Sus scrofa: one gene and its partner. The protein of the gene in region 2 purifies or fractionates together with the protein of the main gene of each other region. This does not show direct contact. Links are inferred from orthologs where the notes say so. Each region holds a gene or a part of one and is shown on either strand. Other genes may lie near its edges. The genes, in order: BRMS1 and ARID4A.

Region 1 (15,586 bases), on a different chromosome or scaffold from region 2:
GGTGGTCGCCGGCACATTCTTTGCTCATTTGCTGCCTACTTGGGGCCTCCCTTGGGGGTCTGTTGGGCCTTGGGGGTTGATTTGTTGGTGGCTTAGAACACAGGGCGTAGTTGGGATCTGAATCCTGGTTTGGGTGCCCCTAACGGCCTGCTGTGTGGAATCTCAGGAGTCACCATTCCAAACTTCAGTGGGTAATAAGCCAGACCGTCTCCCCTAAAGCCCTCGGGAGGGACCCCAAAGAGGTAAGTGCAGAGAAAAATCGGTTTCCCAGTCCTCAGTCTGTTTCAGAAGCCCGTCTCGCCTGCCAGTTCCCCTCAGCACGCCTGGGAGGAAGGACCGCTCATCTTGTGGAAAGACTGGGATGTGGCTGCTCCCTTGGCCGGACGTGACCTCTAGGATGTCCCCTGGGCTGTCTGGAGACCCTCTCCCTTCGGTGAGTGGAGAGAACAGACCCTTGGACGGGTTTGTGTGTGTGTGTTGAGCACGGTTTGCTAACACCCAACCTCCTTCCCTCTCCTCTCCCCCAGTCTGAGGTCTACTTTGCAGCAAAACCATCCTTTTTTTTTTTTTTTTTTTTCCAGCCCGGATTCCCTGGCCAGGGATCAGATCTGAGCCTTAGTTGTGACCTAAGCCACAGCTGCAGAAATGCCGGATCCTTAACCCACTGTGCCAGGCTGGGGATCGAACCTGCGTCCCGGCGCCCCCAAGATGCTGCCAATCCTGTTGCACCACAGCGGGAATTCCACTGTGACTCCTGGAAGACTTCTGGGAGAGGGCAGGGAGGCAGCAGCAGCACCCCCATCTTCCAGGTGAGGACACTGAGGTTTGGAGGTGCTCATTCTCCAGGGAGCCTGGGCAGGACTGGGCCCTGAGCCCTTGCTGCTTCCCTGAATCCCCTGAGGCCCAGGAGTGGGGGGGCCTCTCAGGGCCCTGAAGCCCCCAGCCTGGAGGGGCTGCCAAGGCTGTGTCCCTCCCCTGCTGCCAGGGTTGGGCACACTCACCGCTGAGGGCTGGCTGGCCTCCAGCTGTGGGGGAATGAGAGGCAAAGGGCCCTGGGCCCTTGGTCTGGGGCCCCCAAAACCCCCTCAGCTTTACCCCGGGCCCCAGACGTGGCAGCGCAGGCCCTGCCCAGCTGGTGTGATCACGGTGCTGGGGAGTCAGAGGTGGCGGCAGACACGGGAGCTGCCTGGGGTGGGGAAGGCTGAGGGGGCTGACGGCTCTCAAAGGCCTTCCCAGCGGGCTCAGAGTTTTCTGCCCCAAGCGGCCTTTCTGTCCACTCCCAGCTACTCCTCTGCTACCAGGCTTCCCTCAGCCTCTCGTCCCCGTGGCTGAGTGGGGTCCTCCCTGGCCTGGCGCCCGGCCCCCTCGGCCACTGTCTCAGACTCTCCCCCGCTGTCCCTAGGGCTGGCTTCGACCTCGGTGTCCCCGTCTCGCCCTTTCTCTTCCTCTCTGCCCCCTGCCTCTGGCCCCCACTGCCCTCCTCTGCTGCAGCCCCAGGGGAGGCCCCCTGGGTCTCAGGCCGCTCTGCCCGGCGGTAGACGAGGTAGCCGGCTGTGGGCAGCCGGTGGGCCAGGGCTCCGGGGGGCAGGCGGTGGTAGTCCTGCCCCTTGTACAGGAAGAGGCTGAAAGTGTCGGGCTGGGTCACTCGGAACTTGGTGGCACAGAGTTTGTTGAGCGTGGCAATGGAGGCCCCTGGGGGCACAGCCAGGGTCTTGGAGGTACAGCCACTGCTGGGGTCCTGATAGGCTACTCGGAGGAGGTGCTGTGTCAGGAAAGAAGCAAAAACAAGAACTCAACCCTGCCTGGTACAAAGCCGGCTGCAAAGCTAAGGTGAAGGTGCAGGCTTTGCAGGATCAGGGGTGGGGCGGGCTATGATCTAGTGGTAGAAGCAGTGGCGAAAGCTTTCTGGTTAGAGTGAGCTCTGAGGGGGGCTTGAGGCCAGCAGGGGACATGCTTGGGCTAGTGGGTCACTGCTGAAGGCTGGAAGGATAGCAGTTTCCCCAGAGGGAACAGTCATACTCAGAGCTTACTCTGTGCGGTAAGCGCTTGCCCTGAATTATCTAGTTCACCAACCCCAGAACAGCAAACCAAGGAGGTAGGTACTATTACCCTATTTTATAGACGAGAAAATTGAGGCACAAAGAGGTTATATAACCTGCCCAGGCTCTCATAGCCAGAAAGCAGCAGAGCCAGCATTTGGATCCCAGATCTGGCTACAAAATCTGGACTCTTAACCAGGGCTAGGAAGGGTCCTTGGGGTGGGTGGAAGGAGGGTGAAAGGCCGAGATGGTATCGGCTCTGAGGATCCTGAACCTGAGCCCAGCTGGGAGGGCGAGGGGGATGTGGGCTGGAAGCCAGGCTCTGGAGCTTGAGCCTGCCTGGGTCCCCTTCCTTCTGCACGTCATGTCTCAGTTTCCTCGTCTGTGAAATAGGATAATATTGATCCCACTTCAGAGCTTCCGAGCCCCCGGAGCACTGCGCACAGCGCCGGCTGGTGGAACACACCCTCCAGAAAGGCTGGCCTGGGCATGTGTTCCACATGGGGTGCTGCTTCTGTTCCCCTGCTGGGTCTCACTGGGCAAAGGCCGGGCCTGTGCCAGATGGCGCCAGATGCCCCTGGCTGGCCAGTGTGGGTGGACTTCTCTTACCTGGAAGCTGTGGGTAGCGGGCAGGCAGCGCTGCTCCCAGAGGCTTAGGGAGCGCTGCAGCTCCTGCGCGGGGCTCAGGGGGAGGGTGTGGGCCTGGTCCAGGCCACTCAGCAGGGCCAGACTGGCTGAGAGGCTGGTCAGGTAGTAGCCGCCTGGGACATGAGGGGAGGAACGAGTGTGAGTGACCTGCCCCCCCCCCCCCCACCCTGCTAAGGCGCCCCAGCCCCACCCAGATGGGAGGCGGTGGGTGGGGTTCCTCACCCTCTCCGGTGAGCAGGGCAGGCTCCAGCACTCTGACATGTACTCAGCCTCCAGCAGCAGCTCAGGAAGGTCACACTGGGCCAGGACAAGGCTTAGCAGTGGGAGGAACTCATCAGCCCCAGCTCCCTCCCCTGTGGGGTGGGGGAAGAGAAAGCTCAGGCTCCTGTGGGGCCTCAGGGTCAGAATCCACTACTTTCTTAGACAACCACCCACCCCTCTGCCTGCCAGACCTTGGGCAACGTGGAAACCATGGCAACCAGGGGCAGGGCCTGGGGAGCGGACGCTCTGCTTTCTGAGCCACAGTTTTACCATCTGTGAAATAAAAGGACTGGACCCATTTTTTTCCCTCCTGGCTGTGCTGTTTCTGGAGCCTCTGCCTGGTTGGCCTGCCTCTGACTTGGCAGGGGGCCAGTGGGAGGGGATGGGAGGGGGCATACCCGCCTGGGTCCTCAGGGCTGTGTAGAGCAGCTTGCAGGCCTGCAGGAGCCGCTTGACCTGGGCACTGGGTGAGTAGGCTCGAAGCAGCTGCAGCAGCTTCTGGCGCACCTGCTCCACCTCTACCGGGGAGGGCAGGCTTAAGCGAGACCCAAAGGCTCTGGGGCCCTGGGTCCGGGCCAGGCGGAGGCCTTCAGCCAGGCGGCCCAGGGAACCGCTGGTGGAAAGCCGGCGCCGCAACCGAGCCACCAGGATGGGCCGGAGAGGCTTGAGCACGGAGCGATGCAGCGACTTCTCCAGGACACGTTCTGTCGGGGAGTGGCAGGCAGCGGTCAAGGGAACCGGCGGGGGCGGGGCAGAGTCAGGTGTCGGGTGGGGGATGAAAAAGAGGAGGGATCTTGGTGATGTGGGAGAGCCGGGGAAGAGAGGAGGTGGAAAGAATTTGCTTGCACGGTGGTGAGACGGGCTGGGTTTGTGAAGCAGCGGAAGAGACTGAGAGAGGGTGGCACTGTGGAGGAGCAGCAAGAGCAGAATGGGAACAGCTAGAGTTATGCAGAGCCAGCCCGGACCAGCGGAGCCCTAGGCCGGATCTTACCCAGTCTTTCTGGCGGCAGCAGCTTCTCAGGGCCCAGCTCTGCACTCAGCATGGCCCGGGCCCGGCTTAGCGCCTCTCGGATACCCTGCAGTCCTGGGGCTCGGGGCTGGCCCGCACCTGGGTCAGCAGGTCCTGCACCAGCTGGCCCACGGCTGTGTGTCGGTCCTGCATCAGCGCGGCAGCTGCCCGGCCAACCTGCCGCTCGGGTGCCAGCAGGGAGCAGAAGGCAGCGCTCATGGATCGAAGCAGAGGCCGCCGGCGGCCTAGGCAGGGGGAGGTCGCTGGGCTCCCCTGGGACCCCAGTGCCCCCTCCTCCTCTGAGCTGCTGGGGGAGCCGCAGTCTACCTCCTGGAGGGAGGGCAGTGGTGGGAGGCTGGGGCCGGCGCCCCCTGGCACACGGTACCCCACTGAGCTTTCCCTCCGCAGCAGCTGGCGAGGCGGCAACCTTTCTGTCTGATGGGGGGCTGCTCCTGGCAGCACCGGGACTGGGGGGGGCGGCACAGCCGGTGGAGACAGGGGGCTGGAGGTCTCCGTGGACACACGCACTTTGAAGCTCCTCTTGAATTTCTCCCGCTTGGTGGGGCCCAGGTCCCCTGGGAACAGGGGGTTGAAGAAGCACAAGGCGGCTCCGGTGCCCTGGTCCAGCTCTTGTGGGGACCGTGGCTTCAGCCGGGGCAGCAGTGGGCCCTCGGCTGGGCCCGGTGGAGCCTTGGTGTTGAGGGAGGAGCTCCAGAACTCTAGGAAAGAGAAACTGTTGGGGCCTCAGGGGGTTCAGGGAGGGGGCCAACCGAGGGAAAGGCACGGGCTTCAGGCTCGTGCCCATATGCCTTCCCTTTCCCTCTTGGCCTCAACTTGTCCAGCTGTGCAACGGGTCGCAGAGGTCCCCTTACCGACGCCCAGATGGGAGATGGCTTCCAGTTCCTTGTGGGTGGCTGCCAGGTGGATGGCTCTGGGGAGCTGGAGCGGGAGGAGAAGAATGTCCCTGAGGCCAGAGAGGGGAGCAAAAAGTCAGGAGGGAAGAGTGCTCCAGGCTGTGGTCTGGGGGGCGCTGAGAGCGCCTGAGGGCTTGGGGACAGACAGGGTGTCCAAGGGAACAGGGCCCCACAGACAGCAGGCACCCTGCGGGCAGGCTCACCGGGTGTGGCAGTAGGCACAGATGAGCTGGACCAGGTCCGGGAACACCAGCTCTGAGCCCTCCAAAGAGATGCCTGAGAGATGGGAAATGAGGTCCGTTCCCTGGGGACCCCACCCCCACCCCACTGTGCCCTGCCCTGCTGGCTGCCAGCCCCTTCCCGCCAAGCCATTCATTCCCTCTCACCCCCAGGGCCTTCTTGGATGCAGTGGCTGGAAACGAAGGAGGGGCCACTGGCTTCAGGCAGCCGCACGCACAGGGCTTGGCACTGGCGAGTGTTAGATTTCCGCACCAGGAAGGTCTGCGAGTGGACAGGGGGTGGGGGCTCAGGACCTCTCTGTCCAGACCCTCCCGTCCCACCCTTAGCCACCAGGCCCTGGGTGATGGGGAAGCACTCACCCCCGGGGGCTCCGTCCTCAGCACGTGCAGTGCGGCCGCAGCGTTGGCCCGCAGTTGCAGCCACACGGGCCGGGTGAGCAGCAGGCGCTCCCGCAGGCTCACGGTGCGCCCGGCTGCTGGGGCCCTCCTGCCTGTGCCCCGCCGGCATCAGGCACATCGTACAGCGGGGCCTGGGCCGGCCTGGGGGCGGACACCAGACCTGAGCAGGGGGCCAGGGGCTGGGTGCGACCCTTGGTGAACCCTCTCCCCCTCCTTTGCCCCGACCTGCTCTGCAGCCCCTCCCAGCCCTCTTGGGCTGCCCTCCCAACTTTACTAACTTTCCTCTCTCCAGGTGCCCAGGCGCAAAGCTGGTCGGGTTGGGGGTTCCCAGAAGGCCTGCTCCTGGCTCCCCCGTGGTTTCCATGGCGGGGAGCTCCTTCAGTCGGTTTCTCCCGGGACTCAGGAAGAGAATCCAGCCCCCAAGGCAGGAGCTCGCACATTCCCAGTGGTGAGTAACACTTCCTGAGGGCGGTTCGCCCTGCCACACCCGCCAGTTAACTCTTGTGTGTCCACTCAGCCCGGGCAGTGCCTGCTTCCCCTGTTCTGGGCTCAGCCTCCGGGGGCAGGAATCCTCTGCCTGCAAAGTGGCCCTCCAAGGGCCCCGACTGTGGGGCTACCACCTCCACATGGTGCATCCTGCAGCCTTGCCAGCCGCCTCCAACCACACAGGTGGGCAGGAAGGGGTTAAGCAGGGCCTGTCTAGGTCCCCGCAGGCCTGGGCCTCGCCTCTGGGGCACCTTGAGGTCCGGGGTCAATTGCTCATCTGTCCATGGCCTTGAGGTCAGCTTGTGGGAGCGCGCCCCCTACTGGTCACAGATGACTCATTCTTGAGCTTAACTTGGGTTTTGGGATTTCGGGTTGTCATGGAGAAAGGATGATGTGTCTCCATGGAAACCAACCCCTTTGCTTAACTGAGGTTCTGGGGGTGGTTCTAACACTCAGCCCTGAACAGGGGGGAGTCTGGCTGTGAGGTCGTCAGCACATGGTGCTGCTGCTGGCTGCCTCCCACGCGCCCAGGCTCTGCCAGCCTGCCTTGCCAATCTGCCAAGCGACTGGGGCAGGTGCAGACATGATCTGGTCTCCAAGCACCAAGCACCCAGCCCGCTTCCCCACCCAAGGCCACGTGCTCTGCCTCTGCCACATGTTGCTGCAGACTCTGCTCGCCAGCACCAGGCAGTCCAGGGCCCAGCCGCCCACCTCTGGGGCTGGTGTGTGGCGGAACCCCTTCCTCCCAGCCTATACCCCAAGTCAGAGTGGGTAAGCTCCTGCTAGCTAGTAAGAGGAGGTACGGGGACCCCAGAAAAGATGGCTTGTCTCGGGCACTCTCCATGAGAGCCCTGACTCCCTGGCAAGGTTAATCAGACACGTGTGGTCATGTCAGAGTCCCAGGAAAGGTTTTAATTCCAGTCCCTGAAATCCAGGAGGCAGACATCACGAGCAGCCTTGAGAGGACGACCTGGAGAGCCTGCCTTCTCACCTCTGGCAACAGCCAAGACACACAGGCCCCCCAAATACAATTTCTGGCTCAGAGTTCCTGTGAAGCTGGACTCAGCTCACTGACGTCAGTGACTGGGGAGCCGGGTCCCAGGGCAGCAGAAAAGATGTTGCTTTGGCCGCTGCTCTGGCTTAAGACGAGGCGTGTCTTCATCAGAGAGGGCACCGAGGAGGCTGACCTTCTGAAGGGGGAGGAGGTGGGCTGGGTGGGGAGGGGGAGACAGTCTTGCCTGGCGAGGGCAGCCCCAGGCCAAGCTGCACAGGCCCCCAGGAGGAGTCCAAGCCAGTGATGGCTGGAGGGAAGGGCTGAGCAGCAGTGCGGGTGAGCCTCTGGGGCAGATCCTGCGGGGCCTGTCAGCCTGCCTTTCTGCAGCAGGAAATTCAGATCCTGGATTTGGTGCCAGCTGCTCCAAGGGGCCCCCTGCCTGGGAACAGCAGGGTCAAGGTCCTGGGGGTACACAGGACAGGAAAAATCACTGCAGGGGAGGAGACTGAACCAAGGGGGAGGCAGGCACTTCATGTGGGGGACTGAGAGGAGTGGCCTGAGGCCAGCCCAGGAGGGCACAGGCCAGCTCCGCAGCCCCTTTCATGGGCCTCCCTGGTGATCTAGGTCCGCCAGGCCAGCTGCTGGGGCTCAGCATTCTACCCTCCCTATCCAGTTCGGGTGGGGGGTGGGTGCTGCAGGGGGGGGTCCATGCCCCAGCCCCATTAACCTAGAGCTTTCCCACCCACACGCTAACTCCCACAATGCCCTCAAACCCAGACTAACTCTCTGACAACGGACAACGGATCTGACAGGCCCCTCCCTGGGGGCTCCTTTCCCGAAGGCTGGGCTGGGGGAGGGGCACTGGGAAGCAGAACAACCCCTGTGGTTCTTACCATCTGATTTTCTCTTCTGAGGGGACACAGCTGCCCTCGCCTGGATGGGTAAGAAGAAACCCCCCTGAGAGCCTGCCTCTAGCTTGGCAAGCCCCACCCCCACCCCCCATCGGCTGCCTTCCTGCCTTCCCCTCCCTCCCTCCCTCTCTCCCACCCCCATCCAAACCTGCCGCAGCACAAGCAAGGGGCTGCACAGACCAGCAGTTCCCTCAGCCGGGCAGCCTCGGGCAAAATGAGGCCAGTGAGCTCCCAGAAACTCCAGGGAACTGGGCTGAAGGCAGAGTGTGCGGAGGGCAGGCTGAGCAGAGAGCTCCCCAGGGTCTCAGAAGGCCCACACGTGGAGAGCCCGAAGAGACCACAGCCGGTGGCTTCCCCCCCCCGCACCCTGACAGGCAGCATCAGACCCACTTTTTTTTGGTCTTTTTAGGACTGCACCCGTGGCATATGGAAGTTCCCAGGCTAGGGGTTGAATCAGATCTGTAGCCACTGGCCTACGGGTGGAATCCGAGCCGCAGCTACCAGCCTACATCACAGCCACAGCAACGAGGGATCCGAGCTGCGTCTGCGACCTACACAACAGCTCACAGCAATGCCGGATCCTTAACCCACTGAGCAAGGCCAGGGATCAAACCCGCGTCCTCATGGATGCCGGTTGGGTTCGTTAACTGCTGAGCCGCGATGGGAACTCCAGACCCACCTTTTTGATCGCCGTCCAGTCTTCCAGGATGTCGATCTCCTGCAGCATGTACACGATATAAGGGCCTGCAACGGGGTCAAGGAAGCAAGAAGCCTGCTGGAGGAGGCAGGTGATGGGCCTGGCCCGGGAACCCCCGCTTCAGGCGGGGTGGTGCCGTGGACAGGGGCGGGGGGCCGGGGTCAGAGCTCAGCCTCCACGTCCTACCATGGCCACCACCTCTTTCACCCAGTCCATGAGGAGGGGGCTCTGAGCCCCAACCCTACCACTGTTAGGCTCCCCTCACCCCGTCTAAGGTCAGAAGGCCAAGGCCCATCCCACCCACTCAGGGACCTGCCTCTCGATCCCCTGTCCCCTCACAGGGCCCCTTTCCCCACCTATGAAGGCCTCTACTCTCTTCCACCCAGAAACAACCCTCCTTCGGTCTCACAGCCCCCTCCGGGGACCATCCAACTCTGTCCCTGACGTCCCCACACCATCACCTCCCATTCACCCTCAAGTCCCTGTAGTCCAGAGTCCTCCCTCCCTGCTTGAACCTGGTTCCCATCGCCTGGAGGCCAACGCCCTGAGAATCTGATTGGTGCGCGTACGTGGGGGTGGGTTGGGGTACGCGTAAGAATTCATTCGGCTCTGCGCACAGCAGACCCTGGACTGAGGGAGCCTGGTGCCTAGGGCAGGGCAGGGGTAACTGCTCCCAGACTCGATGCAGGAGCCCCAGGCTACTACAGGGGCACGGAGGAGAGAGAAGCCATAGCCCCTGGCAGGGGAATCAGGAGAGGCTTCAAGGAGGAGGTAACACCTGAGACAAGCCCCGAGCAGACATCCGGACAGAAGCATCAGAGGAGGGTGCAGAGTCAGCAAAGAGGCGCAGGTAGGAAGGCCTGGGACATGCCTGGGGACGTCATGGGAAAGCCAGAAGGGCCCCAAAGGAGACCTCGTTTAGGAAGTACAGGGGATCTCTGGACGGATGCTCCTATTTTGCTAAGGTCCACAGAGCCCACGAGAGACCCAGGACCCCACCGAAGTCCCTGACAGCGAGGTCTGCCTGGACACGGCCGCGGGAAACCATAAGGAAGGCTGCTCGGCCTCTCCCGCCCCTGTCCCTCCACCCGCCCTCCTGCCCAGCTCGGGCCAGCCTTGGGGGGACAATACCAGACACGAGAGGGGCCTTCTTCCTCTTGCTGGGCGGCAGGGAGTCCCAGGTCTTCGAGCTGCCTCGGGCGTGCAGCTTGTCATCCCACCACTCTGTGCCCCAGACCAGAGTCAGGATCGGGGTGCTGCTCCCCCTGCCCCCTGCAGCCTGCGACCCTCACGTGGGCCCTCCCTGGGCCCGCCCTTCTTCCCTGGCCGCACAGAGAAGCCCGGGAAAGAGGACGCTGTGCTTTTGGGAGCCTTGGTTTCCTCATCTGTTTCATGGACAGGGATGTGGGGACAACCCCTCCCTCCCCCGTGTCCTGCCTGGACGCAGACACGGGACCAGTCCTCTTGAGCCCCCACTGTGTCCCCCGGGGCTGGGCTGGGCCTGTCCCTGCTGGCTTTCAGTCCCCACAGCGACCACGAGGCAGGTCCTCTAACCAGCCCCCGGTGCAGGTGGGGCAGCCCAGGCCCTGCCTGCGGGCGGCACTGACAGGGCAGAGGGGGCCCCTCGCCTCACCAGAGCTGATGTCCAGGCTCTGGCGGTCCTCCTCCAGCCTCTGGATCCGCTCCTGCAGCTCCCCCTGCAGCGTGTCGTAGAGCAGCAGCTTCTCGCTCTGGAAGAGGCGGAGTGGCTCAGCCAGGCGGGCAGGGGCGCAGCTTCCGTCCCCCCCAGCGCCCACACCCAGGGGCTGCACGGTCACCTCCAGGTGCTGCCTGGCCCCCTGCAGCTCGCACTCGTACTTGTTCCTGATCACGTCCAGGCAGAAGCCCTTGTAGATCCCTGCGGAGGCCGAGGGGAGGCCCTGCCTGACTAAAGGGCAGCCGGGAGCCGGGCGAGGCAGGGGCAGGATGAGGGAGGAAGGGGGCAGAGAGCCGTGGGCTCCGGTAGGGGGACAGCCCACAGACCTGCCACCTGAATTCGAATCTTGAGGCTCCGCTGCAGCCCCCCGAGAGGCTCTGTGTACTCGGGCGCCCGCTCAGCTCCCACCTCCTCCAGCCGCACCCGCAGCTGACTCAGCCGTTCCCTGAACAACCTGGGAGGTAAAAGGCAGCCGTGCACCCCTGTGCTCAGCCGTCAAATGCGTGCGGGCCGCCGCACAGGCCCCAGGCCCGCGGACTCCCGGAAGGCCAGCCCCAGGGTCCCCACACTCACTTCTCCTTCAGCTCCGAGAACTGCTTCTCCAGGTCCAGCATCTCATTGACGCACTCGCTGCGGCGGCGCTCGTAGTCCTCATCGTCCATCTCTGGGACAGGAGGCCAGTCAGGGCTGGCTGGGGCCGGGGCCGGGGCCGGGGGCGGCAGGGCCGGCTTGCGGGTCTCACCTGAGCTCTCCTCCTCGGACTCGGTCGGGCTGCCGCTCCGTTCCTCCTCGCTCTCTTCCTCCTCCCCGTTCATCTCAGCAGCCGAGTCGCCCTCTGCTTCCATCTCCTCTGCGTCTTTGCTCGGAGGCTGGACAGGCATCTGGGCTCTGGGAGTAGCGGTGGAGCCAGTACTTGCCACTACCCACAGCTCTGCCCGAATGTGGCTACTCCAGGAGTGGCCTAACTGCAGGCGGGGGACCACTGGGGAAGGCACGAGACTCACCACATCCTGTGCGTGCCCACGCTCGGTGGAGCAGGTGCAAGCAGCCCTGGCCGCACATCTCCCAGGAGCCCGGGAGCCATGGGCATGCCCGTATGCCCTTGGACACTGTCGGTGATCCCAGGCCTGGGAACACCAGCCAAGACGATGACCCGTCAGCTGGGAAAGGCCAAGGGTGGGCTCCCCACTGCCTACCGGACTGGGCCCAAACCTTTTCTTTTTCTTTTTTTTTGCTTTTTAGGGCCACAGGTGCGACATATAGAGGTTCCCAGGCTAGGGGTCGAATCAAAGCTACAGCTGCCGGCCTACACCACAGCCACAACAATGCCAGATCCGAGCCGTCTGTGACCTACACCATAGCTCACAGCAATGCCAGATCCTTAACCCACTGAACGAGGCCAGGGAGTGAACCCACATCCTCATGGAGACTCGTCAGGTTTGTTACTGCTGAGCCACAATGGGAACTCCTGGGCCCAAACTTCTGATCCGGGCTTCCAAGGCCCTGCACAGACTGGACTTGAATCACCGGTCCAGCTCCTTCACCCCACCATCTGCTGGCCAGTTCTCAAATATACCACGCACTTCCCCACCAGCCCTAACGCCCACGGCGCTATTCTTTCTTTCTTTTTTTCTTTTTTTGGTCTTTTTAGAGCCATATTCGCAGCATATGGAGATTCCCAGGCCAGGGGTCCAATTGGAGCTGTAGACGTTGGCCTACACCACAGCTACAGCAACGCCAGATCCAAGCTGCGTCTGCGACCTACACCACAGCTCACGGCAATGCTGGATCCTTAACCCACTGAGCGAGACCAGGGATTGAACCCGAAACCTCATGGTTCCCAGTCAGATTCCTTTCTGCTGCGCCACGACGGGAACTCCTGTGCTATTCTTCTGCCTACACCGCCCTCCACTTCTCTTCCTGAGAACACTCTACGATGCTTGTGTTCTCACTGGGCTCAAATCCTATCTCCTGCTTCCTTCATGATCTCATGTCCTCAGTGCTGCCCTCTCCCTTATGCATCTTCAACTCTCGCTCCTGACAGCTCCTCCCAGAGAACGTCAGACGTGCTCAGGTATCTACCACCAGAGAGAGAAAGCAGAAACACAAAACCTCACCCCACCCCACTGCTCGCCGTTTTCCACCTCATGGCTACTTTTCAAGGCCTTGTGGACACTTGCTATTCCTACTCGCCCACCTCCCACTTGTTCTGTTCCTGTATCATCACTCTCAGCTGAAGCCCATCCTGTAGAGTTAACTGACGAACTCCTCGTACCTAATGCCAGTATTTTTTGGTGCTTATCTTAGGTTGACTTCTCAGCAAACTGAACAGTCTTAAGCATTCCTTCTTTTAGTCACTCATTTAATATTTACTGAAGATCTAATACATGCTAGGTAGCAGCAGACACTATGGTAGGAGCTGGGCACAGGTGCGACAGTCTCTGACCTCAAGGAGTTTACAAGTTCCTGGGACAGAAAGGCTAAGAAACAGACTGTTGCTGTGGGGTGAGAAGAGTTAAGACCAGGGGCTTACGGGAGAGGCATCTAACTGGGACCTGGAGCCTGCTGCAGCAGTGAGGGCCTGCAGAGGAAGATGGGCCAGACAGATGAGCTGAGCTGGTCAAGAGAGGGTGCATTCTAAGTAGAGTGAGTAGCAGGTGCAAACACCCCAAGAGGAGAGAAGGGGGCAGGGCTGGGGGTCCATGGGTCTAAGCCTCACAGAGAAATGTGGGCTGCAGAGATCTGGTCATCACATCGTGAGTTCTTCAGGCCTTGGGAGAGGGTGCAACCAGCAAGGCAGAATGTGTGGAGTGAGAAGGAGTTCATGATGGAACTTCTAGGGTCATCAAAGGGGCAGATGACAAGATGCCAGGAAAGGAGAAGGAAATTAGCAAGAGACAGAGGAGGAAAAAGTCAGAGTATAGGGGGAGAGAGAGAATTTCAGAATGAAGGAGATGAGACAGTGCCAAATGCTGCCAAAAGATCGCCCAAGAGGAAGACTAAACAGTCTCAATAGATCATTTCTGACTAAAGGGGTTTCTACTTCACCGGATGTTTTCCTCTGGGTACTTTGTAGTCCTTCAGATCCGCGTAGATGCCCCTCCTTATTTATTTCCACGTCTGTTGCCCATCCTCATGCCTGTCTGTGAGCCTCCCCAGGGCAGGGCTGCACACGCGCTTTACCCACCCCGCGCAGTACTGACTCACTAGACCACTGGAGGATTTGCGAATGCAAATTAAACAAAACACATTTTTGCAGGGCAGGAAATGGCTTTCTTAGTAGCCCCTGGTCCCTACAGTGGTAGCAAACCCAAAGTGTTTTGTCACCTTTCCTTGACATCAGTTTGAGTAAACTGACTGGCCTAGAGGGCCGTTTCAAAGCATTCCTCAAGGATTTCACAAATGATCTGAACCTGAGCTGAAAACCTCGGTTCTCCAAATCAGCCTCCTCTTTCCCTTTTTCAAGCCTCAGTTCCTGGAGTTCCCAAACTTTGCAATTTCTCTTCACTGTTAAATATATTTTAACAACTCGGGGTAAGTCCCACCTTTCTGGACCAGAGAGGGCGGGGCTTGGGGGGAGGTCTCTCTCCACCAGTCTCTGGGTCTACTGAGAGAGCCAAATTAAATCACATCCTCCCCACTTTAGCCCGGGTACAAAATGAGGATAACCATCACTACTCTGGGTGTTGTAAAGATGGCAAGAGGTAAGGGATCGAAAAGCAAACTATAAGGTGCTGTGCACATGCAATTTATCTTTTCAGAAAGCGAGCATGTCAAGGGCACGCCTCGTAGGAAGGAAGATTCTTCCCCACCCTCGAAGAAGCCGACCCAGTCCCTCCACGGCGCACCCAGAGCCTCGCGCCCCGCTCCATCTCCGTACGCGGCGGAGCGGGCGGGAGAGTCACTGGCTCCTCGGTCCCGCGGCCCCAGCTCGCGTCCGGGCGGTTAAGTCTCGCTACCGCCCTGGATATTGGGCAGGCTCCGACTGCCTGTCCGAAAGGGCAAACCAGGCGCCAGGGTTGGCGTTACGCACCCGTAGGTAGTGGCGCTTCCAGCCTCACGTCTTAGATTCCCCAAGAGGTGCCGGAGGTTATCGGTACTGGCTGCCGCTGTGGGGGTCCCGGAAGCGCCGCACCGGTCCCTCTTCTCCGGGGGCGGGGCCTACCCGCGCTTTCCGCATGCGTCATCAGGAGGCGCCCATCGGAGTGCTCACAATTGGATAGCTGGGGCGAGGCATGCTGGGATACCGCGGGACGGTTTCCATGGCAACGGACCGACATTCACACAGGCTTTCAGCATGCAGGAAAGGCCCTTGTGCCTTCCTAGCTTTGCAGCCCTCGCGTCTGGGTCCACAGTCACCTCCCGGCGGCGCGAAAGGGGAGAACCTGCGACCCGCGGCCCCCACCCCCGCCCGGTTCCGGAGAGTAATGGAGCCAGCTGTAGGTGTGAACACTCATTTATTTACACATTGTAGTCGGTAGGCAAATCACCCAGCCCAGGCTATTCAAGGGTACAGATCTCAGACGCACAGAACCTGCAGATCCTTCCCTTCTCTAGAGCCCCCGGGACGGAGGCCTAAGACACCAGGAAGTTTCGGCTTCTGCCCAAAAGCTAAGAACTAAATTCAACGCCTTCATCTGATTTCTTTCCAAAAAGCCCATTTTGTTAACTACTCAGACTTCTCAGCTCTGCCCCCATTCATACTTTTTGCTCTCCTACTGCTCACCCACCCAAGATTGTTAATAATAATAACAATAATAATAACAACAATAATAATACTGTAATAATATTAATAATACTTCACATTTGTACGAAGCTTACAGAATGTTTTCACATATAGCATCTCATCTGAGCCTCCCAGCAGTTCTGTGAGGTAGGTATTCTCACCTCCCTTTTACAGACGGGGTAACTGAGGCTCAGAGAGAGAACGGGATTTGCTCAAGGCCACACAGCTAGTTAGTGGTTAAGCTAGGACTTGATCCCAGCACCCCATATTCAAGTCCAGTGTTCAAACACCACAGCTACCACTGTAAAGTGGAGTGACGTTTCTTACCCCAGTCAGGCCTGAGGGGCGGCCTAAGGAGGGAGGAGGCTGAGACTTCTCAGACTAGGGGAAGGAAGGGCTCAGCAGTGACGTGGGGAGTCGGGGTACTTGGCCTTCAACTCCTGCTTGAACTGACGGTAAAGGATCTTATTGTGCTGATTTTCGGCCTCCTTTTGGGGGTGGAATTTCAAAGCTTCTTTGAAGCCTTTATGAACCAGGAAACCTTCGTTCAGCACCTCAAAATCGAAT
Region 2 (16,538 bases):
CTCAGAACAGACTGTTTTGCTTCACTTCTTTTTTTTTCTTTTTAGGGCTGCATTTGCAGCATATAGAAGTTCCCAGGCTAGGGGTCGAATCCAAGTTGCAGCTGCTGGCCTACACCACAGCAACAGCAATGGTGGATCTGAACCTTGTCTGTGACCTACACCATAGCTCATGGCAACACCAGATCCTTAACCCACTAAGCAAGGCCAGGGACTGAACCCGCATCCTCATGGATAGTAGTCAGGTGTGTTTCCACTGCACCACAACAAGAACTCCTGTTTTGCTTCACCTCTGAACATTTTTCCTGATGAAATCTCTAGATGACAAGTATTTTACCTTGAGTTTAAAAAAACAAAACCATGAAAGTGTTTACAGTGATGCTGGGTGATTAAAAATCTAGAACTAGGAACCACAAATGGGTAAAAAAAACTCAGAGATGTTCTAATTTTGAGATTTGTCTAAAATATCATGTCAGGAAGCTAACTGCCTCATTTGAACCCTTTACCGAATAAATAAAACATTCTTCTTTCAAAACAGCTTTCTTCATAAAAACATTCACTAAAAATTTTAATATTGTACAATCACTATTCTACTAGTTTGGGCTCAAACACATTACAAAGCACAATTCTATTAAAATTAATTCTCTTTCATTTATTCCTAAGACATGATCTTTTTTTTTTTTTTTAATTCATGGCTGCACCCACAGCATATGGAACGGAGAGTTCGTGGTTAACGAATCCGACTAGGAACCATGAGGTTGCGGGTTCGGTCCCTGCCCTTGCTCAGTGGGTTAACGATCCGGCATTGCCGCGAGCTGTGGTGTAGGATGCAGACGCCGCTCGGATCCAGCGTTGCTGTGGCTCTGGCGTAGGATGGGGGCTACAGTTCCAATTTGACCCCTAGCCTGGGAACCTCCATATGCCACGGGAGCGGCCCAAAGAAATAGCAAAAAGACAAAAAAAAAAAAAAAAAAAGATAAACATACAGTATACACCTTTTGGTGGCAGCAATACAAGAAATTTTTTTTTTCTTCTTTTGGCTTTTTGGGAATTTCCAAATGCCCAGTAACATGTGTTATTTGGATCAGATAATAACAGTCTTAAGTTAGGTAGTGGAATTATAGGTGATTACCCCCAGGGGAAGTTGAGCAGTTTTATATGTTTTATAATTTCTTTACCAAAAAAAAAAAAAAAATCACTTCTCAACTCTTACTGAAATATCTTTTCTATATGCCAAAATTTTAAATATGGAGGAAAAAAATCATGAAAATGTTCACACTGTTTCTTGATAAAAATATGAAGCACTTAAAAAATCCAGAAATGGGAAAGGCATAATTGAGTAAACAGACTCATAAGTATGTCCTAATCTGGGGACTTCATTCTAAAGTATCACATCAGGAAGCTAGTTATACAGACTTATTTGAACCTTTGACCAAACAAACACTTTTCAACTACCATTTTTTCATTTTGCTATTTATGGTTCTACTTACTGGTCCACAGAAAAACTTTTTCAGGCAGGCTCACCTCAGTAATACTTTCGGGTATTTGTCACTGAACTGTCCTGTTTTCTTCTGACCAACTGCCAAAAAAAAAATCTCAATAAATTATTAAATCATTCAATCATTTTCTAGTCTGGAGCCCCATGAATAAGAGGGTTCAAATCAAGAATATTATGAAGATAATTTTATGCAGTTATTTAGATCAGTGTGACAAGGTCATTCGATAGAAAAACTAACATGCATTTATTTTAACTAAGAAATTACTTTTCTAGTAATTCTAAGAAAAGGCACTATTGTGAATGAAAAATTGACTCAATTAAGATATTCTCCTAACGAGTAAATGTAGTCAATGTGGACTACCATTGATTTTTACATATTTAATTATTTCATTCTTTAACTCAACTTGCTAATTAATACTTTATTTCCACAATTTCAAATGTAATTTTGTTCTATTGAAAACAACACAAGATCACAACAAGCTCAACGGCTGCCTTGAACAAAGTCCTACCGGGGAGGACCTTTCCTCTAAGGAGTGATGATAAGGGTTAGGTCAGGAGTTTTCAGTCCCTGTATTTCCTCCCCCAAAGTAGTATAAGGCTCCAGAAGGGTGGCACAGCTGCACGTCTAAAGTAGCAGGGCTGCTGCCAAGAGAATTCCTCAGCGCCCCAAACCCAGTTTCCTTATTGCCTCATCGCGGGAGGAGCACGCGGAAACACCTCTCCCCAGGTAGGGAGGGTCTAAGAACCTTACCTTCCCCGTCTTCCTGAAAAAGGAGCCTATAACTGGTGACACTCGATCACAGAGTATGACAAGCTGCCGAAACCCACTTCCAAAGAAGGGAAGTACTGCTCCCAGAGAAGAGGAGCCCAAAGGATCGGCCAGGAAAAAAAGACCAGCTCGTCTCCTCCGCCTCTTTCTCTTTGGCAGCGGGAGAGGAAGCCTCGCCCCCTCTCAACCCGCCTCCCGGCTCCCCTCCCCGCCGCAGGGAGAACATACCCGGCCATGGCTGCCGCGCGGCCCCCTCACTTCCGGTGCCGGTGCCTCCAATGCTGCGCCATCCCCCAGCCCACCGGACAACCACAGCTTCGAACTGACCTTTCCGGCAGATCGCGACTCTTCCAACGTTCACTAGGTTTTGTCCTGGAGAGAACGGTGGATGGGTGCCGCAGAAAAACGAATCTACAGACTAAAGAATCCGCTCTCGTCTGGCCAGAAACATAAAAAGCGATAGAGCTGCAGCCACCGCTGCCCAGACAAAATGGCGCCGACAAGCTGGTTCGGCGCAGGCGTCTTGGAAAGACCTGCCCCGCCCCCGTGCAAGTCCTGGGCGCAGCGCCGGGTTCGGTTTCCATGGGACACCCCACCGCCAATCCTCGTGCCGAACTGCTCTTCCTGACCCCCCCAATTGACCAATCAGTGCTCAGTCAAGCACATCCGGAGTCCTCTTTACCAATCATTTCTCAGGATTTACTAACTCAATACCTGATTCTCCAGTAACGTTAGTCTTCGGAGACAGCCAATCATAAGTGGAAGATGTCCTACCTGCTATTTTTCGCACCAATCCGGGAAGTTTCAGAGCTACATCCAATGAGGACGGCAGGTAGCGAGCTCCAATCCGAAACTCTTCGGCGTCATGAGCAGCCAATAGGAGTTCGTGTAGAAGCGAGACTGCTCAACAGCTTGTTATTTGGTGGATTGTGGCAGTAAATCGGGCGAGTAGGGAACCGGGCGCAGGAACTGCCGCGGCGGCCGAGAGTGGTGCTGCCCGGACGGGGGCCCACGGGGGTCAGTGGGGCGGAGGACTCGGGAGCTGACAGCGCCCACTTCACCCTCAGTTGGTAGGTGGGGAGAAGGGAAGCGGGCGATACTGAATGGACGAAGCGGTACTAGCAGCTGGTGCTGCTGCCCGGGGTCCCGGTACAGTTGGAAGCTTTGGAGGTGGGGAGGGGGATGCTTGGCAAGCGGGGCGACAAGCGCAGGAGAAGGGGCAGTTCGTGGAGCAGCGGCAGCAACTGCAGGAACAGCCGCTGCAGCTGCCTCCCCGGCCGCTTCCCCGGGTTCCCCGGGAAAATGGCTGTGGGGCTGGCCGCGCCGCTAAGTTTGCTTCCGCGCGGCGAGAAGCTGGCTGCTTGGGGGAGCCGGCCTCTAACTCCGCGGCGCGTCCTCCCCCCTGGAGTCCGTGGCAGGACCCGAGGGGCTGGGGGCTGGTACCGCTCTGGGCTGTACAAAAAGTTGAGGCGGGCGCGGGGAGGAGGCGGCGGCTGCTGCCGTTCGGCTCCCCTCCCCTCCCACACCCTGTCCGGGCCACCTCCCCTCCTCCTCTCCGCCCCCCCAGCCCCCTCCCCCTCGCGGGTCTTCCCTTCCTCGCGCGCCTCCAAGCTGAAGGCCGCGGCCCCTGCCCCTTGGGGTGAAGAAGCGCTTCTCCTTCCTGACATGGTGCAGAGCGGAGGAAGGAGAGCAATGGCGCCGTGACACTCCGCTGCCGCCACCGCGGGCCCGGGGCGGGCCGAGGGGGCCGAGCTGCGGAGGCGGGGCGCGGGCCGAAGTCGGGGTATCCGGGGGCGGCCGGGAGGAGGCTCGGCGACCGCGCCTGCAGGGGACCTGGGGAAGCCCCAACGGCGCCCTGCCCTTCTCCGGAGCGTGCCGTCCTGGGGCTCTGAGTTGAGCATTCCGGGTCAAAGTGGCGAGCGAGGCGGGGGCGCGGTGGGCCGCTGGCGAACTCTGAGGCGGAACCGCTGCCCTTTGGCGCCCGTGGGGTTCTCGCCGCCCCTCCGGCTCCTGCGTCCTGGCTGCCCTCGGAGGGGCTCTTTCGCCCTCCCTGGTGAGGGTTCTGCCCCTCCCCGCAGGCGTTTGTTTACTTTCTTTCCCCGAGTCGCTCCCCTCTGTTGACTGATTCTGTGCTCGTCTTTCCCCTCCCCTTGGTTCCAGCGGTAGAGAAGATAGCTCGTTGAGCTGGAACCCCACAGATCACCAGTAAAAATGAAGGTAAGTGGAGTCGACGCTGCTCGGAACCTCGTGCCCTGGACACTGCCTGTCGTGAGGCTAGAGCTGTGGAATGTCATTTTTCTTTTCTTTATTTTTTTCTACTCAAAATTGATTACTAAGCTGCGCTTTCTGAAAATGAAGACATGTTGAATTGGGTGAGAAATGATCATTGTGTCTAAATGCGGTCAGTTCGTCCCCTCTCCGAAGCAGTTAGCACTTTGGAAAGGCTGGTGCAGCCTTTCCATTGTTGTCCATTGGGCTAGTATTTTTAAACACTTCCTGTGTTGGCAGCAACCTTTGCAGAAGTAAAGCTTCTGTCCTGCTTTGGTTGTTTGGGGGATTTTTTGAAATTTGTTTTTTTCTTCTCCAGTGCCAATGCGATTTTCTAAGGATGGAACATGTGGATTGTGTCAGGGAGATAGCATTTCTTCTGGGGATAAGGTGAAATTCCGTGGCTAAAATATTTGAAAATGAACTAATACTAAGTATTATTATATATTATAATTATTATAATTACTAATACTTAATTTTAGTTCAGTCTTTATAGTATTTAAACATATTCAAACTAAAATAAAAGTCTTCAGAAGACAATTAATATTGGAAATAATATTGCAAACATCATATGTGATGTTTAAAGGTAAAGAAGTTATAGCATCCTGCAATTCTGTGGCCTTGAATGTTTCGGTCATCTACTTATTTGCCAAAAGTATTTCTCTTTAATTTGCCCTAGTTGTAAATGCACTAACTTTAAAAGATACTTTATTCCTTACTCATTAACTTTCAGTGTATTAAGCTCTGAAACAGTATTTTCCCAAACTTTTTCTTGTGTTCTTTTCTCCTTGAAGGAGATGTATCTCTTTGACACATGTATCTTCTTTAATGTTAGTTGAGAAAACTTACTGGAAAATGAAAAATCATTTTCTACTTAAAAATATTTCTCTATAGACTTTCACGTTTGTACTTAGAAGTGTTGAATTGAGCTTGAGTACATGTAACTTTTAAAAAAAATGACAGATTGAGATAGCAATCATTTTGTTACTGTCAAGATTAAAATGAATGGTGGAGTGAAATTTCTCACACCTTTCAGTGTATCATTCTGATCATGACCATTTGCTAAAAATAGACATTTCTTTGTGAAGCTTTTTTTTTTTTTTTAAATACCAAGATTAGTGTGATGAATCTTGTAGGTACAGCTACAAGTCTTGAGGCATCAGTTCATATCTTAACCCTTTAAAATGTAGCTTTTAGCCAGTGATTTTTCTAAATTATGCTCTGCTTATCAAAAGGGTTGTCTTCGTTTCCTAGCCATACATTTATTGTGTATCCAAAAAGATGTTGCCTTTATGTAGCTATAATAACACTTAATCATGATGTATTGTTAGTGTTAATTGGAATAGCAGTATTTCTTTTCATTTGAAAACAAAATTTTCAGGAGTCCATTGACTGAATAACTTAAAGTTTTATGAGACACTTACTATGAATATACCTTTTCTGGATTTTTAAATTTTTTTGGATTTTTAATTTAAAATTTTTTGGATTTTTTTTTGGAGTTCTCATCATGGCTCAGTAGTTAATGAATCCGACTAGGAACCATGAGGTTCTGGGTTCGATCCCTGACCTTGCTCAGTGGGTTAAGGATCCGGCATTGCCATGAGCTGTGGTGTAGGTTGCAGACGCAGCTCAGATCCCGCGTTGCTGTGGCTCTGGTGTAGGCAGGCAGCAACAGCTCCAAATTTTTAGACCCCTAGCCTGGGAACCTCCATATGCCGCTGGTGAGGTCCTAGAAAGGGCAAAAAGACAAAAAAAATTTTTTGGATTTTTAAGTTAAAATTTCTTAAAATCTGTCTGTTATAGAATTGTTGACTCATTTTGTACCTGGAGGGAAAAAAATTATATATTCCTACTGATACTTTCTAGTTACAATTTCAAATGTTTTATGTTATGAGGATATAGTTTATAAAGCAAAGGATTGCTAATAAAGTGTTTGCTTTAGGGTTTTTTTTTTTTTTTCAAATTATCAATGACATTAATAAGCAAATAATGTTCTTATTACTTGAAGTACAGAATCTTTTGAAGAGACTTGAGGTTGGAATAAGGGAAAATAGTGACATTCACATTTTCTGTTCCTTTCTTCAGGCGGCGGATGAGCCTGCCTACCTGACAGTGGGGACTGAGGTCAGTGCCAAGTACCGAGGTGCCTTCTGTGAGGCAAAGATTAAGACTGTGAAAAGGCTGGTAAAAGTTAAGGTAATTTTCCTTTTTAATGCAACAGCTTTATTAACTCAGTTGAAGAGAGTTGGGAATGGGGAGACTGCAAATCAACATTTTATTTATTGAAGCATTGCGCTTAGTGAATCATTTCTATGTAAGAGCACTATTATATATAAAACTATAGGGAAAAAGCAATTAAGAATTGAGAAATAGAAGTTCCCATTGTGGCTTAGCCGGTTAGGGACATGATGTTGTCTCTGCGAGGATGTGGGTTTGATCCCCGTCCTAGCTCAGTGGGCTGGGCATCTGGTGTTGCTTTGGCATGGGCTTCACCTGCAGCTCTGATCCATCCCTGGCCTGGGAACTTCCATATACCACAGGTTCAGCCTTAAAAAAAAAAAAAAAAAAAAAAGAGTTCCTGTAGTGACTCAGTGGTTAATGAGATGCAGCTTGGATCCCATGTTGCTGCAGCTGTGGTGTAGGCTGGCAGCTGTAGCTCTGATTGGACTCCTAGCCTGGGACCTCCATATGCTGTGGGTGTGGCCCTAAAAAGCAAAAAAAAAAAAGGAGAAATAAAGAACTCAAAATGAGAGGTATTCCAAACTGCCTCTGTTAAAATACTATCCATGGGAGTACCCATTCTGGTGCAGTGGAAATGAATCTGAGTAGGATCTATGAGGATGCCGGTTCTATTCCTGGCCTTGCTCAGTGGATTAAGGATCTGGCATTGCTGTGAGCTGTGGTGTAGGTAACAGATGCAGCTCGGATCCCAAGTTACTGTGGCTATTGTGTAGGCTGGCAGCTGCAGCTCCAATTTGACCACTAGTCTGGGAACCTCCATGTGCTGCAGGTGTGGCCCTAAAAAAAAAAGCAAAATAAATAAATTAAAATAAAATAAATACAGCAATTGTTTGGGAAGAGCTTATCATACATAAATTACCTAGAATTTGAAATTTCCTCTTATTTGGGTACTTATGCCCTTTCCAGCTCCCTTAACCCCACTCTCTTAATAGAGCAAGTTACCCTATATTTGTGGGCAGGTCTGTAGTAGAACAAAGCACTTATTTGTGACTGAATTGCATATTAGATTATTATTTAGGTTTACTTTATAAAGCACTAGAAGACTTCTGATTTTAATTTGTTAACCTTGCCTGTAGGTAGTAAAGTTCCATACTGGTTTGGGTTTTCTCTCTTTTTTTTTTTTTCTGTTTTATTTTATTTTTTAAATACATTGCTGACAGTCTAAACCTTTATGACTAGTTGATAAAAAGCAGCAAAAGCAGTGTTAGGTTTTACACTAATCATTGCAGATTATAAATCTTCTATAGTTAAGTTGCTGTAATACGCACTGACACTTGCTAACTGCTGGGGATGTAGTGATGAAGGAAGACTTTCCTTCAAGGAGCTCACAGTTAATGAAAGAGATGATTAGCAAAAATACTAGACAGTGTATACCATAGGTAACCCCAGGATGCTAAGAAAGCATAGACCAAAGACATTTTTGTTCCAGTGTTACTATTAATGTATTGTTCTAAAATTAACATGCAAATTATTGTGCGAAAATGTTTTTTAGGTACTCCTGAAACAAGATAATACTACACAGTTGGTGCAAGATGACCAAGTAAAGGGTCCTTTAAGAGTACGTATTTTGTTCAGTTTACAATCTGAAATGATGAATCATAAATTCATTCAGTGACTTATTGAATTTTACATTTGTAGATATACTTAAAATGTTATAAGAAATGTTAATACGAAAACAAAAATACAAATGAGATATTGTATAGCTAGTAGATATTAAGATATTGCAATAGCTGTATCCTTAGTTTAAGAATGTTAAACATGGAGTTCCTTGATGGACTAGGGGGTTAAGGATTTTGTGTTGTCACTGCTGTGGCTTTGGTTCGATCCTTGGCCTGGGAACTTCTATATGCTGTGGGTGTGGCCTCCCCAAAGAGAATTTTAAACATCTTACAGAAGGGTAATTTAATGTATATGAATATGAGTTTTGGCTACCTTTTTTTTTGAATTTTTGGTTTGAATACCTCGTTTTGTCTTTCATATTGTTGCCATAGATGTTTAGCATGCTAAATAATATGTTGGTATTGTAAGTCTGAATCTTCTGTTGTTTTAACCTGCAAACTAAACTATGTTGATTGAATACCTACATTATGTTTTCTATCCATTTCTGGCCATTTATTTATGTAATAAATCTTTGTTATGTCAGAGTACCACTTCGGTTAATATCTGATATACAAAGGTCTGGAAGCTGAAAGAAGGTCAACTGGTCCATCCCTCTCTCTCCAGGTGAACCTTTATCTGAAAGGTCCCTTAAATACAAATGCTGAATCCGATATTCAATATTTCTATGAAAGAAAATTGAAGCTATTTTTGCTATTGTACTGGTTTTTTGGTTCTTATATTCAGTTTTCTTTGGCAATATGATGTAAAAAACCCTCTGAAATAAGACTTTAAAGATGGGATTCTCATCCTGGTCCCTTTTCATATTCTCTCCCTGAGCCACAATTTTCAATGTGTAAAATAGGGATAATAATAACTACCTAACTTATGCCCAAATGTTTGGGGACTTGAATTGCATGATAAATGTATGAGCGCTATAAATGATAAAGATTTAACCCAATGTAAGGTAGAAGTATCATAAAGAGACTTTTTTTTTTAAACCCAGGTCATATAGTAGTAGGAGTGATTTGGTTTGTTTAAATTTGGTGATGAAATTTCACTTTTGTGTTTTAGGTTGGAGCTATTGTTGAAACAAGGACATCTGATGGATCCTTTCAGGAAGCTGTTATCAGCAAGTTGACAGATGCTAGTTGGTATACTGTGGGTAAGTAGTTAGGTAACTTAATATATAAGATTTAATTAGGGGTTTCATATATATCCTTCTGTTTTATAAATACATTGAATCATTATCTTGGCAGAGAAATACATGCTCTTATCTGTCAATTTATTTGATAGAGATGGCTAAAATTTCAATGACACCCTGATAGTAAAAAAGCAGTCATCTTTTGGGAGTTCCTGTCGTGGCTCTGTGGTAACAAACTGACTGGTATCTGTGAAGACTCAGGTTTGATCCCTGGCCTCACTCTGAGCTGTACTGTGGGTTACAGACATGACTCAGATCTAATGTTGCTGTGGCTGCGGTGTAGGCCAGTAGCTCTAGCTCTGATTCGACCCCTAGCCTGGGAACTTCCATATGCCACAGGTGTAGCCCTAAAAAGACAAAAAAAAAAAGGCAAAAAAAAAAACCAAACAAACTCTCTATAGTAACTTGGCCACTTATAGCTATTTTATCCAACAACATACTTCTTTTTTAGGTTGTCTTGTTATTTCTCTTCAAGAAAGTTAAATTATAGGATTATTTTTCTTCTGTTAGAAAAGTCAATATCACTTAGTATTGTAAATAATCAGACTTTTTCTGACATTAGAATTAAAATTGCAGAGTTGCAGTCTGTATCATATTGCTGCCTGTTTTATATAAGAATAAGTAATATAGATGTTACCACAGAATTTACAGACTAAAACAATTCCGACCAGAGTAGATTCAAGCCTAGGTGATAATAGTTTAATTTTTGATTTTCAGGGTAGTTACAACTCTCTTAAGTAACATCTTTCAAGAAAGACATATGTGTATGTATATATATATATATATATATATATATATATATATATTAGTAATGTGAATGCATTCTTAATATTTCATGCATAAGCTTATACTGGCTTTCAAAAATTTTACTGAGGAGTTCCCGTCGTGGCGCAGTAGTTAACGAATCCGACTAGGAACCATGAGGTTGCGGGTTCGGTCCCTGCCCTTGCTCAGTGGGTTAATGATCCGGTGTTGCCGTGAGCTGTGGTGTAGGTTGCAGACGCGGCTCGGATCCTGCGTTGCTGTGGCTCTGGCGTAGGCCGGTGGCTGCAGCTCCGATTCAACCCCTAGCCTGGGAACTTCCATATGCCGCGGGAGCAGCCCAAGAAATAGCAAAAAAAAAAAGACCAAAAAAAAAAATTTTACTGAGTAGCAACAGTTGTCATAACACATGTAAAAGACAACCTAAATGTGGTACCTATATAGTTGCTCATTGATGAGAATAGCAATGATTAACATTTCCAAATCTTTTCTCAGTACTTTCAGATTATACAGTTCTATGGATAACATCCAATCTTTGTCTTTACACCAAATATCTATAACATTGTTTGGTTTTTACATTTATGTCTTGGTATAAGAGATGTAGTTATAGTGTTGTGGTTTCCCTGTAGGAGGAAAAGAAATGACGCTTTAGGTTTGATTTTTAGTTTACTTGATTTGTTGCTTTGGATAAAAATCATCTCTAGTTGATGCTCAAAGCTGTGAAGAATGCACTTTGATTGAAAATTGTACTTCCTGTGTCTTACTCTGTGGCTTCTCTTAGTAGTAGCGGTTTGCTCTATGCCACTAATATTTTCTAACCATTTTGATTTTTCTTGGACCTCCTAAAAGTTAGTGTTGGTTCACAACGATGCTATTATTCTGAATGATACATTTCTAGGAGGCTTAGTTGTGGCTGTTGAAATGGTAAGAGATTTAAAAACTAAACTTAATGTTAATAACTCTTAGAGATTAAGTAAATACAATTTTGCTATATTAAAGCAGTGGTAAAAATTACAGGAATTGATGTGAGTAGAATCATGGGAAATTAAATGATGCATGTTCAGATGCTAATATGCATCCTGTTTGGTGTTCAATATCAAGGTTACATTCACAATACTTGTGATGTTTTATGGACATAATGCTTATGCCTCTGCAGAAGAAATACTCAGGTATCTTGAATTTCTGCACCCCAGAATTATCCTTCAATTATGAATGGCAGTCTTTATCCTTCACATGAATGGCATTTTAGTATTTCTGAAAACTAGTTGCTACTGAGCATTCTCTCTGGTGACTTTCTATGATAGGTAGTTATAGGAGAAATTGTATAATTCTTGTTCTCAAAGAGTTTAGAATCTTAATTTCATGTATTAATTATTACTGTACATAAGAATCACTTGGTGCTTGTTTGAAAAATGAGGAACCCCAAATCTCTCCAACTTAGTAGGTCTGGGTTGGCAACCCAAGAATCTTTCTTTCTATAAGCACATTGGGTTAATCTAATGCAGGTAATACACACTTAGAAAAACAGACCACACTTGTACAAACAGACTGATTTGGGAGAAAAATTCAAAATGTTTAAGATTAAAGATGTTAAGAGGCACTACTCTTGACTTTTTTTTAAATTTAAATTTAAAATTTTAATTTTAATTTTTTTTTGGCACTACCCTCTTAAGTATACCCAGTATAGCTCTCTGCTATAAGAATGTTTAGGTATTAAAGGATGTAGACCACATACATATCAATCAGTATTAAAAGATGGCAAAATAAAATGTGTGATCTCTCACAGGTTGTGAACTTTCTGTATTTTTCATTAATTGTGCACCTACTACTTACTGGGTTTAATCGCTCTTCTCTGGAACTTTTTTTTGGGGGGGGGGCACACCTGTGGCACATGGAGGTTCCCAGGCTTGAGGTCGAATTGGAGCTGTAGCTGCTGGTGCACACCACAGCCACAGCAACACCAGATCTGAGCCGTGTCTGTGCCCTACACCACAGCTCGTGGCAGCGCTAGGTCTTTAGCCCGCTGAGCAAGGCCAGGGACTGACCCCTTGTCCTCATGGATACCAGTCGAGTTTGTTAACCACTGAGTCACAACGGGAACTCCTGGAATTTTTCTTAATTTCTGATTCTTAGCAAAGTGTTACATAGGTAGAATCAGAACGTTACACTAGGTTTTATTAATGGTCTAAATTATTATTTTTTTAAAGAGAACCTGAAATTATGTCAGATTATTAAAAATGAAACGGGGATACCACACTGCTAGTTTGGATCAAATAGGAGTTATAATTATTTATGATCAAAAGTTATATTAAGAAAGTGGTATTTTAATTCCTTATATAATATCTGTATTAATTTTTCCACGTATAGCTGAATAACCAACTTTGAAAGAGATTATGGATTTACTATAATTCAATTTTTAAAAGATCTAAGAATACCTTTCCCTCTCATAGTGCACAATAAATAGAATCAGTTCATGGATTTTTGTTTGTTTTTTGAGACTTGGAAGTGTTTCCTCTTCCTATCGTAAAATAGTGCTTCCTAGCATAGTTTATTCATTTGGTAGTTCTTATCTTTGCATTAAAGATAAGGAATCTGTAATGTATGGAAGTGTGTTCTTATCTGCTCAGTCATTCGGAATATAACAAGATTGAAATTAGAACTCATATCTTCACTTGTGGGTTGCCTTTAATTCCTGGCAAATACAATGTCAGTAATACATTCTAAAACTGTTCTTTTGCTCCTTTTTTTTTTAATTTTTAAAAATTTGATGGTTACACCAGCGGCATATAGAAGTCCCTGGGCCAGGGATTGAATCTGAGCCACAGTTGCAGCCTACCCCCCAGCTGTGGCAACACAGGATCCTTTAACCCACTGCACTGGGTCGGGGATTGAACCTGCACTTCAGCAGTGACCAGAGTCACTCACTGCATTCAGATTCTTAACCCACTATATAGCACAGTAGGATCTCCTTTTGCTTTTTTGGAACATAAAAATATATTCCAATTTGGAATTTGAGAAATAAGGAAAACGTTGCTATTAATTTAAATAATTTATATTTAAGTGTACATAAACATACATCATATATCAAATTTAAAACTAGAATCTTTTCTGTCATTGCTATATTTTTGTGACAAATGCTTTTTAAGATTTGGGATTTTTTTTCCCATGCCTGTAACTATTATTTTGCACATCAGTTGTTTCAGATCTCATGGAAGTTCTAAGTTAAAAGAGTAGAGGAGAAATCAGTAAATGTGCTGTTGTAGAATGTGCTGAAGGATTATAAGGCTTTTAACTTGATTAGAACCTCTTACGACAAATGTTATAATGAGAATCAACCACAAAATGTTTTCAAAGCCAAGTGGTTATTCAATTGACTGAAAAATAATTCATTAAGGAAAAAAGTACTAACAAATCTGTTCAGTCCTGTGATAGGCTTTAACCCATTGTTTAAATAGGCTTCTGTAAGACTTCACATTCCCATATTTTGTTAATGTAATTATACATTGGAATGTTAATTTCTTAAGTTTCCGGATTCCTGAAGTTTTTGATTTTGGTTGCTAAGAGATTTCTGTAGTTATCACAGATGATTTTATGAGTAACAAAACTATTGGTCTTACCTAGGGTATCCATATATTTTTAGTTTAAAAATTTTTACTCTATTATGTGATAGATTTTGTTAATCATAGCTTTCATAAAACAGATGTAACAATAATACTTATTTTTGCCAAGTCAGAATTCCTAACTTCTGCAGTTCCCATTGTGGCTCAGAGGTAACGAACCCGACTAGTATCCATGAGGACACAGGTTCAATCTCTTGGCCCCTCTCAGTGGGTTAAGGATCTGGCATTGCTGTGAGCTGTGGTGTAGGTCACAGATGTGGCTTGGCTCCTTCACTGCTCTGGCTGTGGTGTAGGCTGTTAGCTACAGCTCTGATTTGACCTCTAGCCTGGGACTTTCCATGTGCTATGTGTGTGGCCCTAAAAAGCCAAAAAAAAGGAAAAGAAAAGAAAAAAGAATTTCTAACTTTCTCCACAGTGTTCATTTTATGCTTCTGCTTCATACCTATTTATTACTCATTTTGGTCCCTCTTAACTACGTATTGTAGCTCGTAGATGGACCTTCTGATTGTCAATTTCTTTATAAAAAGAAGATAGTGATTCTTACCTTGTAGAGGCTGCTGTATGGATTAAGACATAGTAAAAGCTTAATAAGTAGTAGCCAATTGTATCTTTGGATAGATAAAGTTAATTTACTGTTGTTATTATCTTACTATTCTCCAGCATCTAATAGTGCCATGATAACAGATCTTTTTTTTTTTTTTTTTTGCCCATGCCTGTGGCATGTGGAAATTTCTGGGCCACAGCAGCGACCCAGGCCACAGCAGTGAAAACACCAGATCCTTAACCCGCTGAGCCACCAGGGAACTCTTAGATCTTTTGTATCTAGTGGTTAGATTAAATCCCTTTTGCTGTTGTTTCTTTGAATTCTAACAACAGCTAGAATTAGGCTTTGTATATTTGTGTTAGCATTATTTTGTCTAGTATGATTAATATTATGGAGAGAGTCTTAGCTTTTTCATTATCCTCAAATTAGATATTAATATTTGTATGCAAAATAGTAAAAAAGATACAACTTTTGTAGTATCTGTTCTCCCACTCAGTGAGTAATCTATTCAAATGCCATTTTTGGCAAGTACAAGACATTTCATGTCTTGTAATTCCTAAATCCTTAGAGTCTGACTTTTTTTCTCTTGGCATGCTGTAGTATACATCCTGAACCAAAAATAATCTAAATTTACTACATACACAAGTTAATTATTTCACTCTTTTTTTTTTTTTTTTTTTTTTTTGTCTTTTGTCTTTTGAGGACCGTACCCGTGGCATATGGAGGTTCCCAGACTAGGGGTCTAATTGGAGCTGTAGCTGCCGGCCTACACCATAGCCACAGCAACACCAGATCCAAGCCACATCTGTGAACCTATACCACAGCTCCAGCAACGCCAGATTCTTAACCCACTGAGCGAGGCCAGGGATCGAACCCACAAACTCATGGTTCCTAGTCGGATTCGTTTCTGCTGCACCACGACGGGAACCCCTATTTCACTCTTATCAAAATGCCAGTCACTCTTCAATGCCTTCAAATTTTGTATTCTTTTAGATGATGATTCTAACATGCAAGTTAGAGAGGAAACTTCATACAGATGGAACTTCTTAATGATTTTGATAGTCAAGGATTTCATGATTAAATAGGTCCACTATGTAGTTGGATTTGTCTTTCAGTAGACCTTAAGAAGTTGCATGCCTCAACAAACTGTATAAAGTACTCAAATACATACCTTTGTATAGTTTAGTGATTTAAAAAAAATTCTTTAATTCTCTTTGTTCACTTGAAATCAGAAGGGTTCCTATGTAAAACTGTAAAGTGGTTGTTTATACCTTAATCCCCTTTGGCTCTTACCTTATTTCTACCTATGATAAATGGTGTTGAAGTGAAATTAATTTTTCCCCTTCAAAAATCTGATGTATTTCAAAAGAGTATTTTACAAAACAGCAACTCAACATTAAATTGTTGAAATTTCTCATCACAGCATTTTGATTTGGGGCTGGCATTGATTAATAACAAAACATTGTGGAAAAGATTTTGTTGCCTAAATTTAATATTAGTGATTGGTACATTCTCATTTTCCTTCTTCACACCTCCTCCACTTAAATGTACTGTATGTGAGTACATATGTGTATGTCCACTGTCACCATCTTTGGTATTGTCGGTATCAAGGAAAATTGGAACTTTCAGGATTTGTTTCTTGAGCATACTCATGGACATTAATAATAAGAGTAATTATTTTGTTTGGTATGATAATTTCATGATTTTGAATTTTTTTAAAAAACAGTGTTTTATCGTACTTGACACTGTGTGAGTCATTTTTTTGTTTTGTCTTTTTTTTTTTTTTTTTTTTTTGCTATTTCTTGGGCCGCTCCCACGGCATATGGAGGTTCCCAGGCTAGGGGTCTCATCGGAGCTGTAGCCACCGGCCTACACCAGAGCCACAGCAACGCGGGATCCGAGCCGTGTCTGCGATCTACACCACAGCTCACGGCAACGCCGGATCGTTAACCCACTGAGCAAGGGCAGGGACCGAACCCGCAACCTCATGGTTCCTAGTTGGATTCGTTAACCACTGCGCCACGACGGGAACTCCCTGT

The links.
Region 1: the proteins of ARID4A (region 2) and BRMS1 purify together in Homo sapiens (affinity purification with western blotting; 3 studies listed by BioGRID and IntAct, with this or other methods). This does not show direct contact. The link is inferred for Sus scrofa from reciprocal best matches to the Homo sapiens genes ARID4A and BRMS1.

Annotation. Positions count from the first base shown.
Region 1 is NC_010444.4:6,044,968-6,060,553, reverse strand, and holds BRMS1 (breast cancer metastasis-suppressor 1), read right to left. Parts: upstream 14,478-15,586; 5' UTR 14,327-14,477; intron 11,421-14,326; exon of another isoform or gene 11,182-11,420; 5' UTR 11,175-11,181; coding exon 11,036-11,174; intron 10,958-11,035; coding exon 10,867-10,957; intron 10,748-10,866; coding exon 10,620-10,747; intron 10,495-10,619; coding exon 10,415-10,494; intron 10,328-10,414; coding exon 10,231-10,327; intron 9,822-10,230; coding exon 9,729-9,821; intron 8,645-9,728; coding exon 8,580-8,644; intron 7,923-8,579; coding exon 7,883-7,922; intron 7,452-7,882; coding exon 7,444-7,451; 3' UTR 6,882-7,443; downstream 1-6,881. UniProt on the Homo sapiens protein: Transcriptional repressor. Down-regulates transcription activation by NF-kappa-B by promoting the deacetylation of RELA at 'Lys-310'. Promotes HDAC1 binding to promoter regions.
Region 2 is NC_010443.5:187,382,197-187,398,734, forward strand, and holds the start of ARID4A (AT-rich interactive domain-containing protein 4A), read left to right. Parts: upstream 1-3,157; 5' UTR 3,158-3,338; intron 3,339-4,424; 5' UTR 4,425-4,475; coding exon 4,476-4,481; intron 4,482-6,617; coding exon 6,618-6,728; intron 6,729-8,265; coding exon 8,266-8,331; intron 8,332-8,367; exon of another isoform or gene 8,368-8,996; intron 8,997-9,443; coding exon 9,444-9,534; intron 9,535-16,538.